Canis lupus familiaris: one gene and its partners. The protein of the gene in region 7 interacts with the protein of the main gene of each other region in a biochemical or structural test. Links are inferred from orthologs where the notes say so. Each region holds a gene or a part of one and is shown on either strand. Other genes may lie near its edges.

The links.
Region 1: the proteins of LRRK1 (region 7) and RET form a complex in vitro, tested with the Homo sapiens proteins (2 studies listed by BioGRID and IntAct, with this or other methods). The link is inferred for Canis lupus familiaris from reciprocal best matches to the Homo sapiens genes LRRK1 and RET.
Region 2: the proteins of LRRK1 (region 7) and BAG2 form a complex in vitro, tested with the Homo sapiens proteins (2 studies listed by BioGRID and IntAct, with this or other methods). The link is inferred for Canis lupus familiaris from reciprocal best matches to the Homo sapiens genes LRRK1 and BAG2.
Region 3: the proteins of LRRK1 (region 7) and SNX21 form a complex in vitro, tested with the Homo sapiens proteins (2 studies listed by BioGRID and IntAct, with this or other methods). The link is inferred for Canis lupus familiaris from reciprocal best matches to the Homo sapiens genes LRRK1 and SNX21.
Region 4: the proteins of LRRK1 (region 7) and POLR2M form a complex in vitro, tested with the Homo sapiens proteins (2 studies listed by BioGRID and IntAct, with this or other methods). The link is inferred for Canis lupus familiaris from reciprocal best matches to the Homo sapiens genes LRRK1 and POLR2M.
Region 5: the proteins of LRRK1 (region 7) and SNX9 form a complex in vitro, tested with the Homo sapiens proteins (2 studies listed by BioGRID and IntAct, with this or other methods). The link is inferred for Canis lupus familiaris from reciprocal best matches to the Homo sapiens genes LRRK1 and SNX9.
Region 6: the proteins of LRRK1 (region 7) and ECHS1 form a complex in vitro, tested with the Homo sapiens proteins (2 studies listed by BioGRID and IntAct, with this or other methods). The link is inferred for Canis lupus familiaris from reciprocal best matches to the Homo sapiens genes LRRK1 and ECHS1.

The regions. Positions count from the first base shown.
Region 1 is NC_049249.1:4,110,572-4,114,595, reverse strand, and holds part of RET (proto-oncogene tyrosine-protein kinase receptor Ret), read left to right. Parts: intron 1-2,292; exon of another isoform or gene 2,293-2,520; coding exon 2,521-2,668; exon of another isoform or gene 2,669-3,742; intron 3,743-3,748; exon of another isoform or gene 3,749-4,024. UniProt on the Homo sapiens protein: Receptor tyrosine-protein kinase involved in numerous cellular mechanisms including cell proliferation, neuronal navigation, cell migration, and cell differentiation in response to glia cell line-derived growth family factors (GDNF, NRTN, ARTN, PSPN and GDF15).
Region 2 is NC_049233.1:24,632,806-24,636,406, reverse strand, and holds part of BAG2 (BAG family molecular chaperone regulator 2), read right to left. Parts: intron 1,652-3,601; coding exon 1,542-1,651; intron 1-1,541. UniProt on the Homo sapiens protein: Co-chaperone for HSP70 and HSC70 chaperone proteins. Acts as a nucleotide-exchange factor (NEF) promoting the release of ADP from the HSP70 and HSC70 proteins thereby triggering client/substrate protein release.
Region 3 is NC_049245.1:33,764,750-33,769,523, reverse strand, and holds the start of SNX21 (sorting nexin-21), read right to left. Parts: upstream 3,007-4,774; 5' UTR 2,962-3,006; intron 2,695-2,961; exon of another isoform or gene 2,651-2,694; 5' UTR 2,645-2,650; coding exon 2,383-2,644; intron 1,953-2,382; coding exon 1,795-1,952; intron 1-1,794. UniProt on the Homo sapiens protein: Binds to membranes enriched in phosphatidylinositol 3-phosphate (PtdIns(P3)) and phosphatidylinositol 4,5-bisphosphate. May be involved in several stages of intracellular trafficking.
Region 4 is NC_049251.1:23,182,444-23,186,904, reverse strand, and holds the start of POLR2M (protein GRINL1A), read right to left. Parts: upstream 3,085-4,461; 5' UTR 2,951-3,084; coding exon 2,838-2,950; intron 656-2,837; coding exon 8-655; intron 1-7.
Region 5 is NC_049222.1:47,942,017-47,946,040, reverse strand, and holds part of SNX9 (sorting nexin-9), read right to left. Parts: intron 3,265-4,024; exon of another isoform or gene 3,158-3,264; intron 2,766-3,157; coding exon 2,689-2,765; intron 1,531-2,688; coding exon 1,441-1,530; intron 1-1,440. UniProt on the Homo sapiens protein: Involved in endocytosis and intracellular vesicle trafficking, both during interphase and at the end of mitosis. Required for efficient progress through mitosis and cytokinesis. Required for normal formation of the cleavage furrow at the end of mitosis.
Region 6 is NC_049249.1:41,450,512-41,453,696, forward strand, and holds the end of ECHS1 (enoyl-CoA hydratase, mitochondrial), read right to left. Parts: intron 2,125-3,185; coding exon 2,057-2,124; intron 1,181-2,056; coding exon 1,115-1,180; 3' UTR 920-1,114; downstream 1-919. UniProt on the Homo sapiens protein: Converts unsaturated trans-2-enoyl-CoA species ((2E)-enoyl-CoA) to the corresponding (3S)-3hydroxyacyl-CoA species through addition of a water molecule to the double bond.
Region 7 is NC_049224.1:40,399,967-40,403,990, forward strand, and holds part of LRRK1 (leucine-rich repeat serine/threonine-protein kinase 1), read right to left. Parts: intron 2,798-4,024; coding exon 2,633-2,797; intron 2,088-2,632; coding exon 1,915-2,087; intron 902-1,914; coding exon 781-901; intron 497-780; coding exon 337-496; intron 1-336.

The DNA of each region.
Region 1 (4,024 bases), on a different chromosome or scaffold from region 7:
GGCAGGCAGGGGCTGGACCAGGGTGGCAGCAGTGGGGAGGGGAGTTCATCTGTGGAGTGAAAAAAGAGGTGCTGTGGGGCCTCTGGTCCAGCTGTGGAGGAGGCAGGCCCCAGGATTCTGTAACCAGCTGCCTGATAGAGAGTGCCAGCCAGAGCCAGTAGGCTCCCCTTCCCCCTTCTCCATGGGAGGGCCTGGGCCCATAGTTACTGGGTACTCCATAGAACCTCCTCCTTGCTAGGCCTGCCATCAACCTGCCCTGCTTCTTCTGTATCCCTGCTGGCAACTGCTGAGGAGCTGGAAGCCAGGTTCTTTTTTAAAATCTTTAAAGATTTTATTTTTTCATGAGAGATACAGAGAGAGGCAGAGACCTAGGCAGAGGGAGAAGCAGGTTCCCTGCAGGGAGCCTGATGCAGGACTCGATCCCAGGACCCCGGGATCACACCCTGAGCCAAAGGCAGAGCTCAACCATTGAGCCACCCAAGTGCTCCAGGAAACCAGGTTCTTAAGTGGGGCTGAGAAGATGTGCATGTGAATAGAAGCTCCACCCCCAAGGCCTGGCAGGGAACATTGCATCTTGACTAGAGCCTCCAAGCAGAAAATTCAGGAACCACTGGCCTTTGGCAGTATCCAACCAGGGCTAGGAGGTGGCTAAGGTTTGTTGGAGGTGCCACCCAAGGGTGCTCACCCCTTAGTGTGGGCCTGGGCCATGGGAGCCATTCCCACTGGTGGCAGACACTGCAGCCTCTCTCCTAGCTTTCCTAGTTCCCGTCACTACACAGATGGGATGTGACCCCTGTCCTGTAAAGCATCTCTGCCACCACAGCCAGCCTCTGGGATGAGCCACTTGACTCCTTTATAAACCCAGGCAGTGTACAGTGAGGTACACAGGAAGGGCAGTGCTGGCAGGTGCTTGTACAAGTGAACATACACCACCCTCCGCCTACACCAGCTTGGGCCCTCAGCATGGAGAAGCCAGAGCCTAGTCTGCAGCCCAGGGCCTACTGACCAGCTCTAAGGACACATTACTCAACTGCTTGATCTTAGTTGTCTCAATATAAAGCAGAGAGAATTTTTAATGTCCCTAAAGAAAATCAAATCAGTGCTATCCACACATGCTTAGTGCAGTTTCCACATGCAGCGAATGCCTATCTGGTGCAATGGGGAGGAAGGACACGAGGGTAACAATGATGATGTTGTCGACTCCACCCCTGACTGTGGGTTCTTGCAGAACCCGAGACAACACCAGGATGCCCAGGAGCTGGCCAGCAGGAGCCCTAGATACGGTGCTGAAAGGAGGTCACCTCTGCCCACAGGGGCAAACACAGCTATACTTGGGTGTTGGAAAGCATGGCTCTGCTTGGCAGGGCCGGAGGACCCAATGGTGTCATCTGTGGGAGTCAGGCGAGTCTGGCAGGGTTCATCATAGCAGCACCCCCAGGCCACACCCACCTCCAGCTGCAGGGAGAGTTGGGGCAATAGATGCCCACTGCCGGCACATGAAGGGAGGTTTCAGCCTCCCTGGTCAGAGTTCAAAGATTTGGGGCCAGGCTGGGGTCTGGGAAGATGTCCCAGAGTAATCTTTCCTTTTTTTTTTTTTTTTTTTTGTAAGATTTTATTTATTTATTTGACAGATTGTGCACACACACAAACAAGTAAGCAGAGTGGCAGGGAAAGGGAGAGGCAGGGTCCCTGCTGAGCAGTCTCTGATGCAGGGCTGGATCCCAGGACCCTGGGATCATAACCTGAGCCAAAGGCTCAACTGACTGATGCCCAACTGAATGAGCCACCCAGGCACCCCCCCACAGTAGTCTTGAGTGAGATTTTAGTGGGAAGGCAAGATGGGTAGAGGGGAGCATGGTAGCAGGTGGATGCAGGTTCAAGGAAATGGCCAGTCCCATGAGAGGAATAGCCTCTTCCACATGTCAGGATGGAGGCTTCCAACCCCCCTAGTGATATCTTTTCTGGGGCACCACACAGAAAAGGACACTTCCATCCATAGTTAGGGGTCCTGTTCTGGGAGGCAGCATAGGCTGCTAATGCCAACAGGGTCCTAGGAATCTCTGGAGAGGACAGATTGGGGCCTAGTCTGTAGGACATCAGTGGCTTGTGGACAGTACCGGGAAGGTTGGGCTCATCTCCCAGGAAAGACGCCACACTCCTATGTGAACACCCTCTACATCCTTAGTAAGCCCTAAACTCCTTGTTTGAGAAACAAGGACATGAGCCCGAGATGGCCAAGGGCATGTTCGGTAGACTGGGGACAAGCAAGGATCCAGGCATCCAGAGTCCAGGCCATTCTGTGGCAACGTTTATCTTTCCATAAGGTACAGGTCCTGCCCAACTGTGGGGTCCCACTCTCAGTGCAGGTAGATAACCATTGCCCACTAGTCCAGGTGGCAGTTTGCACACCAGAGCTTGTCCATTGGAGACTCATTTATGAGCCTTGTCTTCTTCTTTTCCTCTTACCCTCACCAACTTTCTCCCTTCTCCTCTTCTTCCCTTTCCTCCAACCCCACATAGGAGGATCCTAAGTGGGAATTCCCTCGGAAGAACTTAGTTCTTGGAAAAACTCTGGGAGAAGGTGAATTTGGAAAAGTGGTTAAGGCAACAGCTTTCCGGCTAAAAGGCAAAGCAGGATACACGACCGTTGCCGTGAAGATGCTGAAAGGTACCTGTCCAGGCAGTATGTACAGGTGGCTCTGGAGCCACCCTGACAACCAGGGTGTGGCAACCAGCCTAGGGCCCTCTAAAGAGCCCACCCCCATTGCTATTCTTGAGTGGCTGCATTCTGGAGATGCCCCCATGCACCATCACAGATAACAAGGGCCAGGGTAGTCCCCTGGAGAAACAAGGCAAGAGAACTTTTCATCACTGGGAAGGTTTTAGAATGGTGCTGTTTCTGCACCAATGTTGGGTAAAGATCTGAATTTTTTAAAAATTAAAAAGCCTTTTGGTTTTGAACTGACAGCTCTTCCATCCCAATCTGCCCCATTCATCCCTTTCAACCAGGTGCCCCTGTGGTCCTGGTGAAGAAGCCACCTGTAAGGCTTGGCCCCTGTCTCTTGGGGCCCTACCTGGCCCAATCCCCAGTGGCCCCCAGTGGATGTGCCCTGCCTCTGAGACCAGGCCGTGCCACAAGTCTGGCTCTAAATGGGTACATACTCACCCATATACACACACACTCACTGGTGTTTCTGAGCAGAGACTGGGTGGACGGCCCTCTGGCATGCCAGGAGTCTGGCTCACATGGACCAAGGGCCCAGTGGCCTTGCAGCGGGTACAAGTCGGCAGGTGCACATGAGAATTCTAGTGCAGCACTCAGGGCTACACTGTGCAAGGTGCTTGAATCCTTACCTAGGCCTCAGACTGTGTCTTTCTGTGCTCCCCCCTGAAGCCCCAAACACTAAGGGGCACACTGAGACCAGCCCCAGGCCACCATGTATGGGGCCCAGCACCCTCTCTCCCAGCTGTCCTCTCACTTCCAGACAAGTGTGTGGCCAGAGGTGGCGATGTGGTATAGCTCGGCAGTGAGCTGTGAGGCAGCTGCCCCAGGAGGCCTGCTTAGCCAAGGCTTCTGACCCCACATCCCTCCCCTTAGGCTTCAGCTCCTCGTGGGAGCCCAAGCACAACTCTGCTTACCCTCAGGATGCACGTGTGCACATGGCAGAGGCCACCTCTGTGAAGTCCCATAATCTCCAACTGTATCCAAGGCCTCACCTCCTGTTGAGTGCTTGGTCAACAGCTGTTATAGGACATGAAACAGTCCTCTTACCTTCCCAGAAGGATTTATGAGGACAATGTCTGTGTACCACTGTCCTTGAAAGATGACAATTGCAAGGAAATATTACCACTTATACACACAGCCGGTCCTGGGAAGGTTTCCATAGAAAGACCTGGCTGATGTGGAAGTTTGCTCCTCAGAGTTATTATTCGCTGGAGGCATTTGAGGCTACTGTTGACCATCCTAAGGCCAAGAGCCCCAGGCAGCAGGGTCCTTGGGGGCCTGGTCTAAAACCAAGTAGGC
Region 2 (3,601 bases), on a different chromosome or scaffold from region 7:
CAGTGGATCTCTTGATAAGGATGTGCATGTAGGGGAGGAAAAATAATTTTCCCTGTACCTTTCTGAGTTCTTGGCTGAGAAACCCTGTAATAAAAGACAGATTAACAAGAAAAAAAGCAGAAGCTTATTAACATGTATACTTCACATATACATAGCAGAATTTTAGGGACACTGAGATGGCCTCCCTCTCAGATGGAGAGCCCAAGCCACCACCTTAAAAACCATCTTCAGCTGAGGAGTAAGATGTTGAGGGAGGCCTTCCCCTCTTTAGTGAGGTTACCAGTAAAAGCAGGATAAACCAGGGAAGGGTTGCTTTGCCTTTGGCGTATATAAGGGTTTCTTGTGATTCACAGTTATCCTTCCTGGTACACGGAGGCAGGCACCCTTACAAATGGAAATATCCCTTATAAATGTAAACATCCCTTACAAACAAGTAACTTCTATTCTGTTTTCAGAGCTTCTCCTGTGTCTGCAGTTTCTCAAAAATAATCAGCTTGAAATAATTCTTATGCCAAAGAGGCAAAATTTGAGATGGTATATTTTGCATGGATATCAGAATACAATGCTCCAATTTTGGCTGAAAAAAACATAACCATGATGGTGGAGAAAAAGCTGGCCTCGAAATTCGGCAGTGACTCATCCTTTCCAGGGAAATTTAAGCAGGCCAGTGGTTTCTAAGTCTTGGCCAGCACAGAGAGGCAATGGTGGGAAAAAGGATCCACATTTCATTATTTACATGAAAAAGTCAGTAATCTCCTCTTTGTCCTGTTCTGTAACTCCCTTTTTTTTTTTTTTTTTTTTTTCCCTGTAACCCCCTTCTTAATTCATCAATCTTTGGCCAGGATGATGAAAAGACCGGCCAGATCTTGATCCTGCCATGTGTGTCTAACCGTGCAGGGCCTGGAGTTAGACTGTACACTCATGGCACCAGCTGTTGGACCATGAGCTTGTCTAGGGAGGCCCCGGAGCAACCAAATTAGAAAGATCACCGCCAGTGAAAGGAAATACAAGTGCCCTATTCCTCCACGGAAACTCATGCTTTTCATATAGAAATGATAGCACATTTTTACATTAATGGGGTTTTATTGGGTCCATTATTTCTTTCCCCTGGATTTTATCTCAATACCTCAACCCCTCTCGTTTGTCCTCTCTGCCATCCAGTAACTTCTGAGGAATTGAAGTCAGGACTGTAAACCTGAGGTCAAAGGCATCACCTTACTGCTTGGGACCACCTCTTCTGGAGCTTGGAGGCCTTTTTTTTTTTTTTTTTTTTTTTTTTTTAACATTTCTAACCATGCCCCTGAGGTAGGCAGCAGGCCAGAAGGGTGACCTCTGGGTAAATGGTTCTTTTTTTTTTTTTTTTTTTTTTTTTTGTAAATGGTTCTTGTAATAATAAATTGACAGCTGTTGTCCGCTACTCATGGGAAATGCTGAAGCCAAGTGTACTCATTCCTCAAGTCAAGTGAAAATGGACCCACACTTATCCTAAATCCCATGAAAGAGTGGAAAAGATGAGCTCCCTTCTGTGGAAATGCTCTCACCATCGCTGATCTGCCTCATATCCTGGCTATTCTGGATGCTGTGGATCATTTCCAGGAGGATTTCTTTCTCTTGCTCAACAGCAGTTGCGGCTTCTCTCAAGGCTTCCACCCTATATAAATTGGGAAAACAAAAGTTACCACAGGGAAGTTTCCTTTTCCTCATCTCTATTATTTGCTCCATCTCAAGTTTAAAGATCCTTAGGAACACTTTTGAAAAGTTCTTTATTCTTTTTTAAAAACTTTAAAATTTTTCGGGCAACCCTCTTGGGGCCCTCCCTCTTCGGGAGCTTTGTACCATCACTTTACTATCGCTCAATAAACTCTGCTTTGCTGCCTGTCAAAAAAATATATATTTAAAAATTTTTTCTATTGTTTTAAATCCACCCACCCCAGTCTCCTTTTCCTCCTCGCGTGTATGGCATTCTATTTAGTGTTTATCTATTTTGTATTCGTTCATAACAAAATCTGTATTTGTGTTTTCATCTATTTTCAATTTATATTTCACTGTTTCTTTTTTCACTCAGCATTTTATTAAGAACCATCCAGATTCCTATGTGAATATCTAATCAGTAGCTTCTGATTGCTGCATGATACTCCATGTATATTCACCTGATTTCACCTCCTCTCTCCCAGTGAAAATGCTTACCATGTCCCCTTACTTGTCATCAGCACAAAAAAGCACTTCAATGAATACAGGTCCCCTATGGACTTGAATGAGAACCTTCTTAGGATTTATCTCAGGGCAGAACTGCTGAGACACAGGGTATGTGCACCCACCATTTAATTCGGTACTACCACTGTTCTCCAGAATGGCCACACTAGACCACTGTTGGGAAGCAAGTATTCTTGTCCCCTCAAAGGTTCTTCTAACTGGACTAAGAATCAAATTGACATGAGACAATTTACAGGAGAAAATCCAATTTAATAGTGTACATAGGGGAATCCACATACACATGGAAATTCCAAAGACAATTAGGCAAAATGAGGTATACCTATTATTCTGAAAGAAGGAGAAGGGGGTTAATGGTCTGGGACTTCAAAGAAAAGGAACGCAGGGTGATAAGAAGAGCAGATGTTTGGTAATTAGATGTTTGCCCTGCCATACAGATGGGCCACTCAGATAAAATTTATCTCTGCTTATAACCTTTATTCTGGGAAAGACCCCTAATTTAGATTCTTCTGTGTGGTTAAGGGAGGGGCAGAAGTTTCTCCTGAGCCTGCAGGCTCTCAAGTGCCTTCAGCTCAAAAGAACCCACATGCCAAAGTGGCACATTCTGGGGGGCCCTGTCCTGAACCCCTTCACAATATTCCCAGCAGTAAAGCATTGGAATCCCTGTGTTCCCACACCCCTACCAACACTCAGCATCTTCCAATTTCCTATTTGTTGCCAGTCTACTAAGTATACAGTGATATATTCATAATTAATCTGCATGTCTTTCATTACTAATAATTTTGGACATCTCTTTGTATTCTTGTTAGCCTGTTCACAGCCTTTGCCTATTTTGTTTTTTCTTTTTTAAATGGGGGTTACTGTCCTCTTGCTGATTTGCATACTCAAAGAATTAGTCCCATGTTAGTTACAGACATTGTAATAATCTTCTTCGATCCTATCATCGATGAATTTTGCCTGGGATATTCTTCACTGAATAGATATCCTTACTTTGAAGTGATCAAATTAATATTTTCTTGGTTTTGTTTGCCTTGTGGCTTATGCTTCTGAAGGGTCTTTACATCTGAGGTCATAAGGTATTTTCCTACATTTCTTTCTATTAACTTCATTGTTTTACTTTTCTCATATTTATGGCTTAGTCCATCTAGAATCCACCTATATGTGTTTAGGTAAGGATTTTTTGTTTTATTTTTCTCCAAATAGTGAACCATTTCCAACATTATATCCACCAAAAATCCATCTTTCCTCTGACTTATACATTGTCTACTCTGAAATCTCTGTTCCATCTAGTAGTGTATCTAACTGTTCTTACACCAATATCCATTTTAAAAAAATACCAATAGCCTTGTAATATGCCTTAATATTTGGTAGAACCAGCCCTCTAATCTTC
Region 3 (4,774 bases), on a different chromosome or scaffold from region 7:
GACCCCTTATATTCATGTAGCTTTTACTTTTATTTTTAAGTTTTGGGCAGAAAGGAAACATTTTATATCCATTATCATCTGACCTTTGTAATGTTCTGCCAAGATAGAAAATAATAACAGTAGCTCCATTAACTGAGCACCTGCCCTGTGCCATGATGTGCTGTGCTGGGCACTTTACTATGAAGCACAGTAAGTAAGGAGTCCCTGCCTCTGTTTGACAGCAGAGGAAGTGGGCTCCACGAGGGACAAAGGGCTCAAAGATGTCCTCTAAGTCACAGCTGGGAAATAGCCAGGCCTGCTTAATTCCACAGCCTGGGCTTTCAACCCCCAGGAAAAGTTAAATCGGGAATTTAGGGTCCCATTGGACAGAGGAGGGGACTTGTCTCCCCAGACATGGGCCAGGGCATATCTGGCCCTCCTGCTCTATCTTGTCATTCTCTTCCCAGATTCACCCCATACTTCCCTGCTGCTCGGCTGCTCCTCAGGGTCCCTTTCCTGTGCATGACGCCTGGCTGGGACTCTTGCCACTTAAGACTAGATCATCAGAGTCAATCCCTGCTCAAATTGGAGCAGTCACCCCATGGGCGTGGCCCTCGTTGACTAACAGCAGCAGAAAGGAATGGAGAGGCCCAGATGTGGGACAGGGCTCCAGGCCCCTTTCCTGCTGAGTCAGAAATGGAGGAGGGTGGTGAAGATGAAGGAAGTCTGAGTCTGCCAGGACTGGCCAGGTCAGGCTGGGTTTCAGGACTGGCAGACCTCATTCTCCCATGCCAGCTTCTCCCTTCCATGGCAAGGAAAACTAGACTCCAAGGCCCTCCCCCACACTGCTCTTCATCCCAACCCCACCTACCCCCTAAATCTAGCTGTCAGAACAAGATTACTGTGTACACTGTGGGTGCCTGGGGACTGATTCACCTGGGCTGTAAGGAGGCCACAACAGGTCCTAGATGCCAGACATTTTCAAGCCAAAGTTAAGTCAGGATAATGGAGCTACCATTTTATCAAGCACTTCATAACGCCAGGCACAGTGCTAAGGGCTCTCTCTGCACTATCTCATTTTTTTTTTCTTTTTAAGGATGTTATTTATTCATTCATGAGAGACACAGAGAGAGGCAGAGACAGGTAGAGAGAGAAGCAGGCTCCATGCTGGGAGCCCGATGTGGGACTTGATCCTGGCACTCAGGATCATGCCCTGAGCCGAAAGCAGTGCTAAACTGCTGAGCCACCTGGGCATCTCTGTCTCGTTTATTTTTTATTTTATTTTATTTTTTTTTCTGTCTCGTTTAATTTCTGCAACAATTCTCTGCTTTATCCTCACCGCTGAAATGAGGAAAGAGGGTCACCAAGGTTACACATCTCACCCCAGGTCAAACAGCTGGGAAAAAGTAGAGTTTGAATCAAGGTCTGGATCGAAAACCCGTTTTAGCCACTAACCAATGCAACTTGGGTCTCAGGTCTGACCCACATAATATTCTTTTCTGTATATCTTGTATTTTGCTAGGGTTTGCAAAATCTGGGGTGGGGGTGGGGCGCACACACCAGTTTTCTTAGTCTCCAAACCAGGATGGGGGCAGGTCCATAATCCCTCAGAAAGCTGTCATTTGCCTAAGGACTTGATCAAGTTACATCCCCTTTCTGGCCTCAGTTTCCCCATTTCTAAAATGAGATGACCATTTATAACTATATAGCCACGCCCCACAGCCCCCCACCGCTGCAGGAAGTTGGGAGTCTTTCCTCCCTTTCTCTTAGCCAGACTTAGACTCACAGCCCAGGAGTTCCTGGGCCCTCACTCACCACGTACTTGGAGGGTGGGTCCTTGACCACGTTGGCGCTGGTCACCTCGAAGAGCAGCCGCTGGGGCACCAAGGTGTTCCGGGACTTCTTCCAGAAATCCTGCAACTGCCTTGCCAGGGGCTGACTGCCCCGCTGCCCATCAGGTGGGGGGCTCCGTTCTGCATGAGCACACGACCAGTCACATCAGTGGGCCTGGGGCTAAGTTAGACATAAACTGTGTATGATGCCCACCCTCATCCTCCCAACAGGTGAGATAGGCTTTATTTCCATTTGACATAAATGGAAACTGAGGGCCAGAGAGGGGCCAGGTGCCAAAACCATGCCTGGCAGATAGTAGGCTCTAAATACCTCCATCCCGCAAAACATGGCAAGCACATTATTACGATTTGTATCCCAGACCCTGTACGTTTAATGCCCGCAGCAGCCTCGAGGTGGGAGTGATTTACCCCATTTGACACGAGGGAAAACTTGGCTCAGAGAGGTGTTGTGACTCTCTCAAGGTCACACAGCCAAGAGGTGGCTGGGGAACAGGGCTAGGGTGGAGGCCTAATGGAGCCCCAGGGTTCCCGCCTGTCCTCGGGAACTCGCCTGCATCTTCTCCCGATGCCCCGTCCCCGGAGGGCAGGGGGTCGGGGCCAACCTCCCCGTCGTCCTCGTCGTCCTCGTCCTCTTCGTCCTCGGCGCTGGTGAAGCTGAGGGTGCCGCTGAGGCGGGAGGACAGGCCCTCGGCGTCGTCGTCCTCCAGCTCCGAGCTCTCCGGGAACTGCTCGGCCTCCGGGCCGGCCGCCGCCTCCCCCGGGTTGTCGCCGGCCAGGGCGTGCCGCAGCCGGTGCAGGAGCCGCGAGGCCATGGCACCCTGGGGGGAGCGCGCCACGCTGGGTCCTGGGCGGGGGCCGGAGGGAAGACCCTGGGCCCCGCGCGGGGAGGAGGGGCGGGGCCCAGGCGGCGGGGGGAGGGGCGCCGCGGAGGCCCCGCCCCAGCCCGTTGGGGGTCCCGCGGGCCGCAGGCGTCGCCGCCCCCCACTCCCCGCGCAGACTTAGGGCCGCGCTCTTGCCGGGAGAGGCCGCGAGGCTCCCCTCGTCTCTCCCGCCCGCTCGTGCGTCTCTCCCTCCTGCGCTCAGGGGCGCACGGTACCCCGGGGGCCGGGCTGCAGCCCCGGCAGCTTACCGAGGCCGGCCGGGCTTCGCCGGGCCCAGGCCGCTCCCAGCGCCGCTCCGGCCGCTTCCTGCCGCCGCCCCGCCCCCGGCCCCGCCCGCTCCCCGGAGCCTCCCGGGAATCCCGGGCCCTCCGCTCCGGGAGGGACTTGGGAATCCTGGGTAGGCCTGGGCGAACCCCAGCCCCCCTGCGGGATCGTACCCAATCCGCAGGGGCTCCCAGCCTCCGTGAATCCTCCCACCCATCCCGAAGACCCGGCCTGCCCCGGCGGGCCCCAATCTATCCCACAGTCTCCATCCATCCAGCACTCCCAACTTTCCAAAGTCAGGCGACAGCGGGAGGCCCATCACTCCGGTGAAAAAAATTGAGGCCAAGGGAAGACATGCTATCCGAGTTGGAGTCTGACTTCGAACCTAGGTTTTCTCCTGTGTGAAACAGGAACATTTCAAACTAGTACTAATTTTGTAATTGGTTCTTGGAAGGACCCTGATCCAGTGCCTGGCGCAGACCTGGGGCTGACATATCCATCAGTCACGTAGCGATTATTGTTTCTACAGTGTTCACAGGTTCTTAAAATCTCATTTGAGCCTCACACATAGGAAGTAATAAACGGGGAAGTGAGATCCAGAAAGGCAGAGTTATTTGCCCAGAGTCACACAGCTTGCCAGAGGTTTCTGAGTGTGGGGACTTGCAGCTATGAGTTCCTCATTCTGTTCTTTTCCGATACAGAAGGCCTGGTAATCTCAGCAACTTCCCTGAAGGGCTGTGTTTTACCTTTTATCGGGAGGGCAGGAGTAGGTCAGAAAGAATTAATTGTCACTTCCTGTCAAAAGCCCTCGTGATCAGTCCCTAGCAGGGCAGATATTGTTTGTTATACAACTGAACAAATAAAATCTCTCTGACAATCCTTCCTACTACCCTTTTTGAATGGCACAGGAGAGACAGGTGGGGGAAAGTAGCTTTGAATGGAAAACACAACACACTCCCTGCTCCACTATGTGCAGAAGAGGCAGGGCTCTCAGTTTTTGAGGTTTGACTGCGTCCTACACCCTGTTCTAGGCACTTTACATAGGGTGACATCTCACACATCTTGGGGAGGGAGCTATTATTGGATAACAATGGTCCTTTTTCAGGATGAAGAGCCAAATTGACTTTCCCAAAATCCAGAGCAAGGAAATAGGGGAGCTGGGATTTATGGCCAAGTCCCATGTAATTTCAAGGCTCTAGCTAATTTTCATTCCACTTAGCGTAGGACATTGGGGCAAAAAAGACACACTTCATTCCTTAATTTATTCAACACTCACTCATTTACTGAACAGCAAACAAGAATATTAACTTTTGGCATATGTCTCACAAGTCTGGGTATAAAAGACAAAACCATGGGTTGTCAGAAATCTGGTCTGGTACTTCTGTTTTTTACAGATGGGAAGTTTGCAGCTCAGTGAGAGGAAGGGACCTGCCTTGGGTCATACAAACAGGACGAGAACTAGTTCTCCTGATGTCTTATATTCTCTCCATTATCCTGGATTCTGTATAATATCTCCCTAAAACTGCCCCTAGAGATGGTCATTAAGTTCCTGGTTGCACACATTCAGTAACAGGAAACTCATTATCTCCCAGTGCTTCCCATTCCTGTTATTATCCAACCATGATGGTTAGGAAGTTCCTCCTCATAACCAGATGCCACTCAGTTCAGTTATTCATATAAAAGAACATGATATTTATTGAGTGCTTGCTAAGTGCCAGGTGCTGGGTACCAGGGAATGCAGTGATGAACAACTAACAATCTTTGGTCCATGGAACTCAGAACAGGTCATGTCATGTG
Region 4 (4,461 bases), on a different chromosome or scaffold from region 7:
TACTTACACATTAGTTTTAAATTTATGTGCTGGGGGCACTGGGTTTTTGGCTCGAATTTCTAGCACTTCCATGTAATGAGGCTTCTTCTGTGCCCCACTACGGAGCCTTCCCAAGTTTTCAGCACTCCTGCTCTCTTCTGAGTGCCCTTCACCCGGGTCCACAATTGTGATCCTTTGTAACTTATCAATAAACAGGTTGTAAGAGCTGCTAGAATTATCTTCTGCTTGACGTGAAACCCGATGTTGAGGGAGACGCACATTAGCTTCGGAAGAGGAAGGTGCACGGGCTCTGCTGCTGGAGGCTGGGCACCTATTCACTGTGTACTCCACTTCTGGAGCTTCTTCATAGCTTTCACCAAAAGGATGTACAAGTCCCTGTTGCTGTGAGGTTGTTTGAGATGACTTGATGTTACTTACAGAGGAAGAGCCACAAACTAGTGATGAAGTATCAAGTACCTGGTCAGAATTCTGGGCCTTATCTGTGTCCACATCAACAACTGCAATTGCTTTTTGCTTTAGCTCACAGTCTAAACTAACAGGATGAAACAGTTCACTTTTTCTTCTAACTTCTTCACATTCTGCAATGGCAGCTTTCAGTTTGGCAACAGAGTCTAAGATCTTTTTACCTTTGTCGGGCAATTTGCAAATGAATTTTCTGTTAAATGGGGAAAAAAACACACATGTATTTGTTAGAATCATGTTTTTAAACTTGAGATACAAAGACAAAAGCATTATCCTCAAAGGGAAAAAAAAATCTATCTTTAAGCCAAAAATCTGACTTCCTACTGCATCAGAACAGGAATAAAGTAAAACGCATTATCTAAATACTCTAAAAATACATGATGCAGAAATAAGTATTCCTCATCTGTCTAATTAGAATTTCAGCAAAAGTATTTTAAGCACATAATATCCTATAATACACCCCAAAACTCGCAGTTTTTAAAGTGTGATGTCCAAGGCCTTCCTAAGGAGGGGACGTGGATGGGTCTGCATGGTCAAAATTATTTTCATAATAATACTAAACCATTATTTGCCATTTCCATGCTCCTTTTCTCATATGGGTATAATGGGAGTTTTCCAGAGGCCACGTGATACTGCTCTGATGGCTAATCACTGTGTATTCTTGTGTTTTAAAGATCTCTCACCTGTAATTACTTTTTTTTCTAATTTATTTATTTTTGGGAAGAGAGTGAGCGCAAGACCACAAATGGGAAAAGGCAGAGGGAGAGAAAATCCCAAGCAGACTCCTGGAGCCGACGCCAGGCTTGATCTCCCCACCGAGATCCCGACCTGAGCCAAAACCAAGAATCCAACGCTTAACCGATGATGCCACCCAAGTGCCCTTCTCACCTGTAATTCCTAACACACCAATAAACACCAGTAGATGTTTTGTAAGTAGATGTTTTGTAAAACACCAGTAGATGTGTCTTGTAAAACAAGAGCTCCTTGGGACGCTCCTTAAGTCTTAACAGTATAAATGGGGTCCTGAGACCAAAAGGTTAACTCGCTGCTATAGATTTAAAAAACCATTCTCACAAAGTACTTGAACCTACTCGAAAGCTCCCAAATGGTCATTTGTCCCTTTTGCTGACTGACAGAAATTCCTTTTCAGTTTCTCTCTCTCTCTCTTTTTTTTTTTTTTTTTTTAATCTCTATTAGAAACGGAGGGAAGATAGATTACACCTCTGGCTCTCCATTCTCTCACATTACATTCCTTCCCACAATTACAACACCGAATCCCTCTCCAGCTGAGATTCCTACATGTCCTCAGCCTTCTCTCTCCGGATCCTCATGACCACTACTCTAGCTTTCCCCCACCTCCCCAGGATTTTATTTATTCACGAGAGACACAGAGAGAGGAGAGAGAGAGAGAGGAGGGAGAGAGAGAGAGAGGCAGAGACACAGGCAGAGGGAGAAGCAGGCTCCACGCAGGGAGCCCGACGTGGGGCTCGATCCCGATCCCGGGTCTCCGGGGTCACGCCCTGGGCCGAAGGCAGGCGCTGAGCCGCGGCGCCACCCAGGGGTCCCCCTACTCTATCTTCTAAGTACATCTAACTAACTCCCTGTCCAACTCAGCACCCCCCGAGTAAACTCAACCTCGGAGCTCTTCCCCAATTTTCCTGTTCTTACCAGTGGTCCTCCCTACAGGCTGGGAACTTCAGCCATCCCTTTCAACTACCTACCCCGATTATTCCACGCCTGGTCGGAGTTTTCCCAATCCGACAACTACTCTTCTACAGTCCCCCTTGCTGGGAACTTCTCTGAAAATAACCTCCAGCTGTCGCCTGCCTCGGATTCCTCCAAAACCATCCTGCACCGATCTGCTAAATGAAGCGTCCTTAAAAAAAATAAAATAAAAAAATCACTCTCATTATGTTGTTCACCTGCTAAAGGGAAGTCGGCCAGCTGGAGGGGACAAACTTTTCCTGCCTAATGCAGCACTCCAGACTCTCCCTCTCCTTCCTACAGCTCCCGTAGGAACGGGACCGAGACGGAACTGACCCGGTGTCCTGGGCCCGGTCCGGGCGGCAAGGGAGGCGGAGGTGCCACGGGATTTAGGCCACGGCCCCTCCCTTCAGGGAGCCGTCGGGGTAGCAAGGTCATTAGCACCGCGGAGGACTCAGGGAACAGCTGAGACTCCAGCAGCCGGCCGTTGGGCCCTCGCGCGGCCGCCTGTGCGGCGGGAGGCCGTCCGCGGGCCGGCGGCACCCCCGGGTCTGACGGAGGGAAGGTCACCTTCCAGGGCAGGGAACCCGACGCGGGGGAGGGCAACGAACGCGTCCCAGGGAGCCCCGACCGGAGAAGCCTGGCGGTGACTCGGCGGGACCCCAGCTTACTCGTTGCGCAAAAGTCTCTCCTGGCGCTTCAACATCTCCCGCAGCTCCGCCAAACTCCGCCGCCCCAAGTCCTCGGGAACTTGGGGCTCGAAGCCGCGGGCCAGCGAGGACATTCTGCGGGGGCTGCGGCTGGCGCGGCGGCGGGCACTCGGCTCCCTCGGCAGCCCCCGCTGCTGGCGCCGGATCCGCCGCCGGCGTGGACTCCGAGGTACGAGCGGGAGCCGCCATTTTCCCGGAAGAGCGGGGCTTCTTCGAGCCGAATCGAGCTTTATTGAAACACCGGAAACAAACACAGGCGAGGGGAAGGGGGCGCTGGGAGGAGCGGGGAGGGGCGGAAGTTACGTAAGCCGAGGGGGCGGGGCGCGCTGGCGCCGGGGGTCTCTTCGCGGCTCGTCGGCTCGGCTCTTCAGGTTTATTCGAAAAGTGTTGCCTGTAGCGCCGCTGTGACCCCCCAACACGTGTCCCCGACTCCTGCCGTTGTGGAGCTTACCGAGGGGTGGAGGGAGGCAGACACTAATCAGGTAATGGTGAAACAGCAGTAAGAGGGGCAGCCCGGGTGGCCCAGCGGGTGAGCGCCGCCTTCGACCGGGGGCGTGACCCTGGGGACCCCGTTTCGAGTCCCGCGTCGGGCTCCCTGCAGGGAGCCTGCTTCTCCCTCTGCCTGTGTCTCTGCCCCTCTCTGTTTCTCACGAATAAATATCTTTTAAAAAAGAAAAAAGAAGCCCCCCCCCCCCCCCCCGGCAGGTGCCTTCTGAGAAGTGGGATGGAAGTGGAAACTCGCCCTTGGTGAAGCCGGGGGAGTGTGCCGGACGGGGCCCAGGCGGCCAGGGCTTAGTGAGGTCCTCAAACTAAGTTGGAGGGATTTTTCGTGACTATCAGCGTTTCTTAGTGGGACTCAGTGGCATTCGGAGCAGGACATTTATGTGTCTGGCTTGCGCCCTCTGGTTCAGTGCAGCTCCCAGCTCGGAACAATCCCCGACGCCTCTACCAGTCCCCCCCCCCCCCCCCCCAGCCCCCCGACCCCACCCTCGGCCCGCCCCGCAGGTACACAGGCCCCTCCAGAATCCGCCGGAGGTGATGGTGGCAGGTGCCGGACAAGTCAGCCTGAAACCGATCCTTCCTAACTGCCCAATTCGCCCGTGGGAAAGCAGAGGCGCAAAATCAATGAGGTATTCCCAGGGCACAAAACTAGTTAAGTGGCCGCACCAGATGTCACTCCAATGCCCAGCTACTCTTTCTACCACACCCGTTTGGAAAAAATCTTCTTTTTTTTTCCGCCTATTTCCAAATGTTTAAAACTGTTGAAAGTTTTTTTTTGTTTTTGTTTTTTTTCTTTTCAGGTTGTTAAGAATCTTAAGAGTAGAGCAGTGTAAGAAGCATCCCAGGTGGCTCTGACTTTGTCTTTACAGCTCAGCTACCAGAGCTGTGTCCCAAAGCAAAACTAGGAAAAGCGTGCAAGAGTCACAACACGTAACGGTTGGGGGGTTTGGGCACCCCTATAACCTCCAGCACCACCTCCCCCCATTCTCTGATATGGAAAATCTTTAATTTTCTCAATCCTGTGTATAGTGCTGTAATAAATAGAGCTGTTCCCTCCCAATCAGATAGAGGCTCTTAGATAAAA
Region 5 (4,024 bases), on a different chromosome or scaffold from region 7:
GCGTGTGAATTGTCAGCTTTGCTCCAGGTCTGTAAGGAGCACTGCATCAATTCCAAGTTGATACTCAGAAGTCGTGGTAAAAGCTGCCAAACGTTTCCCACTCCAGGATCATCACAGTGCTCATTAGAGCTGCCTGGGAAGAAAAACTTTCTACTCGTGCATAAATCAGGCTCCATGCCCAAAACTCTAACTGCTGGCATAAATCCCTACAACAAGCTAACTCTTCTGAGATGTTTTTTTAACTAAGACTTTTAGTTTTATTATGTTTATTTTATTCCCTATCCCTCTCCACCCCCGCCAGTTTTGTTGATGTGATTCACAGACAGCAAGGTAGGAGTTGAAGGTGTACGACAGTACAACATAACCATCTGAGGTCTGTCTTTACTGCAGGACGATGACCACAGTAACAGTTAACATCCATCACCTCACAGAGTTACAAGTTTGTTTTTCCCCTTGTGACGAGAACATTTAAGATCTACTCCCCTAGCAATTGCATTTCTGGGTACATATCTGAAGAAGGGGAAACCACTATCTCAGAGAGATCACTGCATTCCTATCATTACCCACAACAGCCACAATACCGAAACACCCCCCAAGTGTCCACTTGGTAAAGAGAATGTTCTGAGTTTCATATTAAATTATCTGAAGTTGCACAAAGCTTCCTATTTGCCCATACTACCCCTTCCTGAGGCTTGTATTATTGAGCTGAATGCTAAAATGGCCACATGTCAGAATTGTTAGGGTCACAGACCAGCCCTTGGCAGAGATTTTCCTAATAAATTCAAGTATATTACAACATCCCAGAGTACTATAGTTGATAAAATGCCCCTATTCTGAAATAATGAGTTGGAAACAGAAAAACTAACCAGAATCAAAAAGTGAGGACATCCCAAAACATGTCAAAATTCAGTTCAAAAAATACCTTTATGGTGGGACTTCTATAGTTTCCTTATTAGCACAAAAATATAAAATCGACGTTGACCATTTAAGTTTTAATTAGGAACCCTTCGTCAGGCCCAGGGACAGAATATCTTACTTCATCTTGACGGGGAAGGAAGGGTCTTTAGTGACTTGCCCAAGCAGCTTACAGAGGTCTCACTAGTAAGGGAAGCAGTATTCCTAATCTTGTTTTGAATTTCAAATAGCATGATTATTTTGTTTGATACCTGACCTAAGTATAGGCAGAAAGGAGTATTTTTCACATTTTTGTTCCCTCAAAATAGTCTGTCTATAGAATCAAAGAAACAATAACCCATAGCCTATATGTGTTATGGGACCTCACTAACTGAACACCACAGGCAGCTCCGGCCGATTTCAGAAAGCTCTTCCTTACTTGGGGCCAAGCTGACCGACAGGGCCCTCGCAGGTGGCCATGCAGGTGGCCCTGCGTAGCAGCCCTAGGTCACCCGTGTCATCTGTGCACTTCTGTGCTTAAGTTACCTTGTGGGCGCCGATAATATCAGGGAAGCAGCCAAGGAAGCCTTTATATTCATGATTACATTCCATGAGGAAATGAAGATCTTTCTTTGGCTAAAACAAGACACAGGGTGGTTATTCCTGGCAGAGAAATCCAGACCATCAAGGCCAAGAAAACAGTTGCCCAGAGGACTTGCATGAGCCAAGCCCCTGGGGTACTAGTTACCATACCAAGGGCTATGCAATCAGCCTAGTTTTCCTGCAAGAAAACAGGCCCCAAGACTACTACATTCTCAATTGTAGATTGGAGAGAAAATCATAAAACATCAGATCGTTTTTAGGCTGGCTGATAAAAATTAGTTATTTTGAGGCGGCTTCAAATATAATACTATTAGGGGGGAAAACTGGTTAATATTACTCATACACAAGCAAAGAAGATGTAGTAACTTAATGTTTAAATTTTGGCAGAGAATGTAAATTATTACTAAAGATCTGGTAACTATCTTAAGTGGCAACTTAAAATATTTCAATTTTTCTGAATTATAATTTTAATAGCTATGTTATGCATTTCTACAACCTAATCTTTTTCTTTTCTTTTCTTTTTTTTCAACCTAATCTTTTTCTATAAGGAGCAGTAGTCAATGACTAACACGAAGGGGTGTGCAACGGGTGTATGTGCACAAATACGTATTTCAAGAAGTTGTCTGAAAAACTTTTAATTTAGGGATTTGAGACACAAATGTCAACACAGATGTCTATTCCCCTTAAGGGAATTTGTTATTGGTTATCTGTCAAAAGAACTGGAATCAGGACTACTGAAGGCCTCAGTAAAAGCCATGTGACTCTATCAAAGACCTTCTCCCTGCCAAATCCCCCACTGGTGCCTTCTCCTTTGTGGCTGCTGAATGCTGAGAACCTTACAGAGTAGGCTCTACTACCACCGTTTACCAGGTGGGTAAAGCAGCCTCAGACAAGCTAAGAGTCTAAATGGTGATATGAACGGTGTTCCTGATAGAACATTCCAACTCCTGATGGCTGAGGATGGATCCAGCCATTGACACTGGAAGATACTCATTTAGATTTCTCGATGATAAATGTATCCATCACTTTAGCTTAACCAAAGAAACACTATTACCATATACAATTAACAAAAGATACAGAGGAACATAAGAGGAGAGTTGTTGGCAAAGTTTGTTTTAAAATAGGTTGAAAGAACATGTGGATTGGACAGCAGCTGCTGTGCCCTGGAGCTACATGGGTCTCTGTGGATACCTGCTCTGCCACAAGACCAGCAATTTCTTCGTAAGTCTTTCCTGCTTCGGTGATGGCAGCGTTGAGATCCGTTTCGCCTGGAAATCATTACAGCTACATCAGTGGTCATATGTACTTTCCCTTCGCGTACTTTACTTAAAAATCTTATTATAGAAAACACTATACTTTTCAAAACTAGAGGATAGGGTAACAAGTTCCCATCTACCCATCCCCTGGCTTCCCAGTGAACAACTCATGGCCAGTCTTTCTGCAGCACCCATACTGTCCGCCCCTAAAGTCCCCCTTTCACTGGCCATGTAACAATGCACCCATAAATTTGACCTCAAAGATAAGCACACTTTAAGTTCTTTTTTGTTTTGATTTAAGATTTCACCTTTTTGAGAGAGAGAGCGCGTGAGAGGGAACGAGCATGAGCAGGGAGTGGGCAGAGAAGCAGATTCCCTGTTGAGCAGGGACTCTGGGGTCATGACCTGAACTGAATGAAGGCAGTTGCTTAACTGACTGAGCCACCCAGCTGCCCCAAGATAAGCATTCTTTAAAAAGCAAGGACAATATCAACACAACACTGGAGACAAGGTAACTGCTCCTGATAATCCAGTAAGTGGACAGCTCCCTGGAGTCTGGAATCAAGCTCGCTGCTTTCAGGACTCAGAGAAAGTCCACATCATAGAGAGCTGAAGTGTTTCTTTAGTCTTTAGGTTCTTTCTCCTCCCTTTTTTCTTGCCAATTTCTTTTCGGGGGTATTGAAGAAACTAGGTGCCTTGGTACCCACAGTCTGGGTTTTGCTGTGTCTGTGGTGATAATGCAGTCCTCTGTTTCCTGTACTATCTAAATCTCTCATTTTAGGAAAGGTTTGCAAAGTGTTGCTATTCTACTTCTATCACTCCTTCTTGATCTGAAGCATTTCTATTTTTTTAAAAAAGATTTTATCTATCTATCTATCTATCTATCTATCTATCTATTTATTTATTTATTTATTTATTTGACAGAGAATGAGCACAGCAGAGGTAATAACAGAGGGAGCGGGAGAAGTAGGCTCTCTGCTGAGCAGGGAGCCTGACACAGGGTTTGATCCCAGGATTCTGGGATCATGACTTGAGTTGAAGGCAGATGTTTAACTAACTGAGCCACCCAGGCACCCTGAAGCACTTCTATAAAGAGAAACTTCCCTTTATTGACTATCTGATTACCCTGAGGTATTGGAAGATAAAAAGCAGATTAAATGCTTCTTTCTCTCTACTGTTTTTTCAGAATAATAAGCTGATCCTCTAACCATCCCCCTAAAGGTAACAGATTAACTTTTTAAAAAGTATCATCGCAAATCTCGATTTAAACA
Region 6 (3,185 bases), on a different chromosome or scaffold from region 7:
TAAAAAAAAAAAAAGGAAGGGGATCCCTGGGTGGCTCAGAGGTTCAGCGCCTGCCTTTGGCCTGGGGGGCGATCCCGGAGTCCCGGGATCGGGTCTCGCATCAGGCTCCCTGCATGGAGCCTGCAGACTGTGTCTGCCTGTGTCTCTGCCTCTCTCTCTATCATAAATGAATAAATCTTTAAAAAAAAAAAAAAAAAAAAGGAAAAAGGTAAAAGAAATGCAGATGCGCAATTCTGTTTTCATAAAAAGAGCACTGAGCCATGTCGGTGTATGCAGGTGCGTGTGTGTGCATGTGTATACACAGAAGCACCTAGAAAGCTACGTTCCAGTTAACGGCGGTTACCCTAGGAGTGTGCCGGGTGACTTACTTTCTGGACTTCCCTTCCGTTTGACCGTTGTCACACAATGACAAAAGTCTGAAGAGCGACGTGGCGTCTGCTTACGAGGAGAGGCACAGCGTGATTTCCGTCCGCTGCATGCCGGTGGCGCCCTCCTCCGAGTTTCACATTCACGGGCTGCGAAGCTGCACAGCGACCGGGGGAACGCGCGTCCATCTCAACACGGCAGGCTGTACGGAGTGAGTCTGGCATCGAAATATCTCAGTCCCTAAAGTCAAGTGAAAACTTACACACACCACTGAGGGCTCACCAGCAGGATTTTTTTTTAGGGTTATTTATTTGACAGAGAGAGAGAGAGAGCGCTCAAGTGTGCACACGAGTGTGGGGAGGAGCAGACGGAGGGTCTGAAGCCGACTCCCCACCAAGCAGGGAGCCCGATGCAGGGCTCAGCCCCACGACCCTGAGATCATGACCTGGGCTCAGTGCCAGCCACGTAACCAACTGCGCCGCCCAAGCTCCCCTCGTAAGAATTTGTGTGTGTGTGTGTGAGAATTTTTGATTAAGAATCTGCTCAGTCAGAATGAGAACAGGCTCCAGACACGGAGTCTCAGGACCGCCGGGTGAAGACCGCCCCCACTCAGGAGAGCGAGAGCCCCGTGCGTCAGAGACTGCGTGCCGCCTACAGGGCCCTTTACTAGAGAATTTATTTGCTTCTAAGACCGTCAGACCGTAATTCCTGTCTTCGAGTCGAGGGTTCAAGGCAGAGGCGGAGGCGCTCACTGGTCTTTGAAGCTGGCCTTTCTCTTTTCCACAAACGCGGTCATCCCTTCCTTCCGGTCTTCCTGGTGGGAGAAGGAAAATAGGTAGAGATGGACGTTCCCGGTTTCCTACGGGCGGAGGCACGGGCTCGGCCCGTTCTGGGTTTGCTCTCGGTCTGCTGGGCTCCTCTGACAGATTCCCAGGGTGGGGAGGGTCCTGCCCCGGGACTGCCTGCGCACCTGCGCATGGCCTGGAACCCCGGCCACCGGAGCCCCCAGGGGTGATCATCCAAGAACCACCGCTTCGTGTGTCAAACTCTCACCCAGGGAGCCTCAGACGCACCTGCTTGGGCCGTTCACTAATTCGCTCCCTGGGTTTAGTGGCGGTCCGCGTGGAGGACCATCCTGAGCGCCATGGAGCAGGACACAGGCGTGCAAGCCCTAGCCCTACACCTTCCCTGCGCGTACGCACGAGCGTGCACATGGTCACACGCACGCCTTCACTTCCTCGAGGGCCACGGCCGTTTCCGAGCTCCCATAAAACACACCTGTCTAGGACTCTAATCGCGGCAGGTGGGTTTCAACACCTGTTACTAGAAGGACTGCCTCTCGCTTACTGTCAAATCCTGCAGGACACTGTTCTGAAGCCTCAGAACACAGCATTAGATACATTCCAACTCCACGCCAAGTCGTTGGAACGATCTAGAAAATTACGGCAGATGGATTGCCTTTAAATACAGGAGGCTGCCGTTTAAGGGCGCGATTCCTGATTCCTGAGACCTTGGTCAAGGATGTAACGCTTCATACTTTGGGCAGTTATTTGCTAATTGTGCTCGTGGGCAGGACGCATCTGATCCAGCTGCAGGGCGGCAGACAACTCATTTACCGCAGCCCTACGGGGACCTCCCCGGCGCGCTCTCTGGCTGGGCCCCGCGTCCATCCACCCCGACGCTCACTCACAGTAGCGAAAGTCGCGTAGAAGAGCTTCTTCTCCAGCCTGTTTCCCTCCGTTAGCGTCATTTCAAAAGCTGAAAAGAAATCCCTTAGGTTATGACCCAGGGGCAGATGTGGGAACAGACAACTCTTCATGGGGACAGGAAACACTCCCCACTGACCCAATCAGCCTCGATTTTGTCGTGATATTGTGACCTACACGGTCGCCTACGAAGACCCCCCCCCCCCCGCCCCCTGCCCCCGGCTTCCCGCCGGCGGCCCCACAGGAGAGGAACAAGGAATGGAGTCAAGAGTGCGACGGCCAACTCTGTGCAAGCACAAGAGGACTGGAGGGCCAAGAGAATCACATACTACTTATTAGTTTTTAAAATGTTATGTTGAGAGAAACTGTGAGCGTGTACAAGCAGGCGCAGGGGCAGCGCGAGGGGCACAGTCACAAGCAGACCCCCGCTGAGCACGGAGCTGGAGCTGGAGCTCGGCTCCCGACCTGACATCACGACCTGAGCCAGGAGTCAGATGCTCTGTGGGCTGAGCCACCCAGGTGCCCCCCCAGAATTACATATATTTTAAAAAGCATTAAAAAATGAGAATGAAGGGGCAGCCCGGGGGGCTCAGCAGTTTAGCGCTGCCTTCAGCCCAGGGCGTGATCCTGGAGACCTGAGATCGAGTCCTGCGTCAGGCTCCCTGCATGGAGCCTGCTTCTCCCTCTGCCTGTGTCTCTGCCTGTCTTTCTTCTCATGAATAAATAAATAAAATTAAAAAGAAAATGAGAATGAAGGATGAAAACCGTAAAAAACGTTGTGCCATAACAGAGTCCTGGGCGGGCAGGGCACTGTGGCCCCGGGAAGGCGAAGTGGTGTCCCTGGCTGAGCACCTGGACGGACAGCAGGCGCCTGGACAGCACAAGCAGCGGGGGCCGCCCCCGCGTGAGCTAACTGCTCATTCTGTGGGGACGCATCACCCACGGCGGTTCAGCCAAGGCCAGCAGCCCGGGGGGCCCGCCCGCCTCCCTGCAGAGGAGCCGCAGACCCGAGCGCCCGGCTCACAGCCCCCCAGCTCGCAGCCCCCCGGCAGGCAGTGGCGAGCAAGCCGGCAGCTGACCCCAGTGCCGAGGACAGCAGGCTCCGTGAAGACA
Region 7 (4,024 bases):
AAGCAATCAATGGTCCCAGGCATACACTGCCCTTTAGCAGGGCCTGCTGCCCTGTCACTGGTTTCCTGGTGGCACCTCATAACACTCTCCAGCGTGCCGATCTGATGGCCAGCAGGAGGACTCTGGTCTGCGGACCTCCATCATCCAGATTCTCCATCTATCTCTACAGATCTGGCTCCTTGTGACAATGTATCTGTGACTCCCGTGTCACAACCACCTGAAGTGCTCTGACAGTCATTCGCAGACAGGTGCAGAGCAGTGAAAAAGGTGAGTCTCCCTTTCTGGAGGCCCCATGCTTGTGTCCCGTCCACCTGCCCTCCTGGCCTGCCCGCTCACCCGATTGCAGGTCCTCGTAGTCTTTGATGTCATTGTCAGGCATCTGCTCCACCAGCTGCTCCAGCTGCCTGTCTGTGAGATACTGCACGTCGTCGCTCAGGCTACGGCGCTGCTGCTCTGCCAGCACAGCCTCCTGGAGGCTCAGGTAGCTCCTGGGGATCTGGGGTGCAGAGGGGGCAGGCTGGGCCCCTCAGGTCCTGAGGTGTGCCCGGCCCACCCAACCCTGCTTGCTGCCCTCGGAGGCTTGAGTGTGTGAACTTCCCTTCTCGCTGCCCCATCCCCAGCCTTCCCCACCCCTGCCCCAGAAAACTGCTCGCATGGGGGACTGTTGAGCCTAAGCCCGCAGCACACGTGTTTGACAATGGGGGGGCTGGGAAGTTTAGATTCCTGGCGAATAGGGAACAGCCCCTCTGGCTTCAGTGGGATCCTGCCTACGGTACCCACCAGCCTCCCCGCAAGTCTCTGGCAGCCGATGGTGCTGCCCACATCCTTCATGTTGCACGTGACATGGAAAATCAGCTGCCGTAGCCCCTCCTGGCCTTCCAGACTCTTACAGGAGAGCTCACTGTGAGTGCAAAACAGAACGTGATCACTCATCACACCTCTTCTCACTGACAAGTTCTGCAGCATCTGTGTCCCAAAATTTCATCCCTAAGGCTGGCAAGTTAAAAGAACCCATGAAGGGTGAACACAGAGAAATGTATTAAGCTCTCAGTGCAAAGCTCTGTGCTGGGAGCGATGTAGTATGTGTCCTGAGGAGGAGGAAAGTGAGGACCAAAGGTGCCAGGTGACACCCCCCACCCCCCCAAGGACACAAGCTGGAAGGGAGCACACTTGGGGTGGACCTGGTTCTGGCCCAGGGCCAGTGCCCCTATTTTATCGCCGGCCTCAGGGTGTCCTCAAGGGCACACGAAGAATTCCTGAAATTCTGCATCAGGACCAGCCAGATCCTGCATTCTGGGGCAGGTGGAGGTGTCCCCAGGTTGACCCTGCACCAAGGTCTGCAGCACTCCACCCAGGGGGAGTGGGGTGAAGGAACCTGAGAGCCACCAGCACAGCAACTCACACTTCATTCCTACGAGAGAATGCTTCCTTAACTTGCTGGGCCTGTTCCATCGCCTGTGAAGTGGGCACAAGGACTCCCATAACCCCACAGGGCTGTCGTGAGTCAAGAGAGAAGCAACAAGCCCAGGGCTCTGGTCCCACTGGCAGTGGCCGGGACCGCTCAGACCCAGTGTGAGGACCAGGACCACACCTGGGTCTGCGATTGGTCAGAGATCAGCAAACGTGACGAGTGGCAGGCACACGCATTTCTATCTCCTGGTCCCATCAGGGCCATGCATGCTCAGCATTGGCTCCAGCGGGGAGGGGACCCCGAGGGAAGCATGGAGAGGGTGTGCCCAGGCTCTGCCCTGCCTGCCCACTAGAGGCAGCTTGCCCTCCCCGGGGTGGTCTGGTCTGCTCTGGCTCAGGAGCCCTCTGTAGGCAGATCCCGGTGGCCCCCGGCAGATGGACAGGTGAAGGAGCAGCAGCCTCAGCCACAGCCAGGCACCAGGCAAGAGAGAGCAGGACACTCACTGCAAGTGTTTGAAGGTGATGTCTGGGAAGCCTGTGGCCCGGGACCCGGATGGTGAGCGGCAGAGCGCCAGCACATAGGCGCGCAGCGTTGCAATTCTCTCCACTCGGAATTTGGTTTCGATTAAGTCCAGGTGTGTTCCGACCACCAGCACCACAGCATTTGGGGCCTTGGCCTGCCAGAGAGAACCCCACAGCTGAGCATCGGCTTCCTTTGCTCCAAGAAGAGACTGGGACATAGCTCCCGGGCACAGAGGCGAGCCGACCCTCGGCACCACCCAGGACTGTGCCCCACACTCCGCTCTGTAAGCCTCGAGGGCATGTTATGCACCGAGGGGTTGCATGAGGCACCCCAGAAGAGCTGGATTTCTGATCCCCTCAGCCTCTATGTCAGCTTCCTGTGGCTGTGGCCTGCATCCAGGCTCTTGCCACCTTGACTTGTGAGACGGGAGCTCTGTCTTCCTTTTGCGTCCAAGAGTCGGGGGTGGGGGCTCTTAAATTTAAGAGTGCTGATAATCACCTGGTCAAGGAGGGTTTGAAGCGCTTCACTGCGACCTGATTCTGGGTCCTCTGAAAGCCTGCCAAGATGCCAAGCGTTTCTCCCTGACCATTCCTTTTATTTCCGCAGTCAAGGGGATGCTTCAGAGCAGCGGCAGACCCCCTCACCCTGCTCCCCGTGATGTTCCGAGGCCCGAGAGCTGCAGGGCTGGTGCCTCCTCACCTCAATGTTGAGCAGCCAAAACTGGAGGCTGGCCACGGCCTCCTCTCCCAGTGCCAGGTTCCAGACCACCACGTACAGGGCCTTGTCCGTGAAGAAGCACTGGTTGACAGTGGCCATGCTGGCGGGGCCTCCGATGTCCCAGACGGTGAATTCCACAGAATCCACCTGCTTGTGCAACAAGAACAGTGACAGGAGGCAGTTAGGGACCAAGGCTATAGCCAAACACGTTGAGATGGCTCAGGCACAGCACGGGAAGGGCTTTCCTCATCCTGCCATTTGTCTCAGGAATCAAGTAACCCAAGAGAAGGACTTCTGGAAGCTCCTATCTACCGCCAACAGAGCAGGGGGCCCGGCCCTGGATGGCTGGCTCCTGTGGGCTGGGGTGTTTGTGTCCAACTGTGTCTGCAGAACGCTGGGGACACTGTTCTGCCTCTGTCTCTGCTGCAGATGGTTCCCTACTGGAGGGGACACCCAGGTGCTGACGTCAGCACTCACCCAAGGCTTAAACTCCATCGGTGCCTGCGAGGGTGAGGCCGAGGAGATGGGCCTCTGAACTTGCGTAGGCTGGGAGGCGGCGCCCACCAAGGATGATGGGCAGCTGCCCTGATGTGGGAATCAAACAACAGATGTGCTGTTGTGCTGCCAGGAAAGGCTGTGTAAACGGTGGTTTCTCTATTGTCCTATGAGGTCAGAGTCTGGCCCCAGCAACTAGGACTGCAGTTTCCTGCAGCAAAGAATCGTTTGCACGACATTGCATTTTGGCCTCCAAGAGGAGGCCAAGACAAGGCGTGCTGACCGGCTTTTGCAAAGGCATGAAAATGGACAGCTGTTCTGAACTGGCTGAGGGCCCAGACACACGGGCAGTGACACAGCTCAGCATTCGAAAGGTTAGGAGGGGAAATTATAATGCTGGCCAAATGGAAGTGGATGCCAAAGGACAGGAAAAATGGAAACAGCAATTCACCTCTCTGACCTCGGAAAGCATTTGAAACAGACCAGTTGAAAGAAAGTGATACTAAGTCACTACTCAAAAAAACCCAAAAACCCAAAACCAAAAAAATAGGAGAGAATCCAGAGATTATGGGTGACTTTAGAGACGCTCTGGACAGGAGTTAGTGAGATTCACTCCTGGGGTGTTCAGGGGTGGTGGTGATGGTACTGCTGGTATTAAGTAACCAATCGTTCTGGCGTTACAAGGCATTACAAGGCATTACAGGGCAGGACCCTGCTCTCTAGAGGACAGTTTAAATGCCTAATGACCTGAACTGGAATGCCTGATTTGGAAAGTGATTTTGTGTAAAAGACTTTTGCAAGGAAACCTATCTCTAGCTGGCCCTGTCCTGGGGGCTGTGGGGGTAAATCATGCAGCCTCTGGCCCCAAGGCTCCTCGCA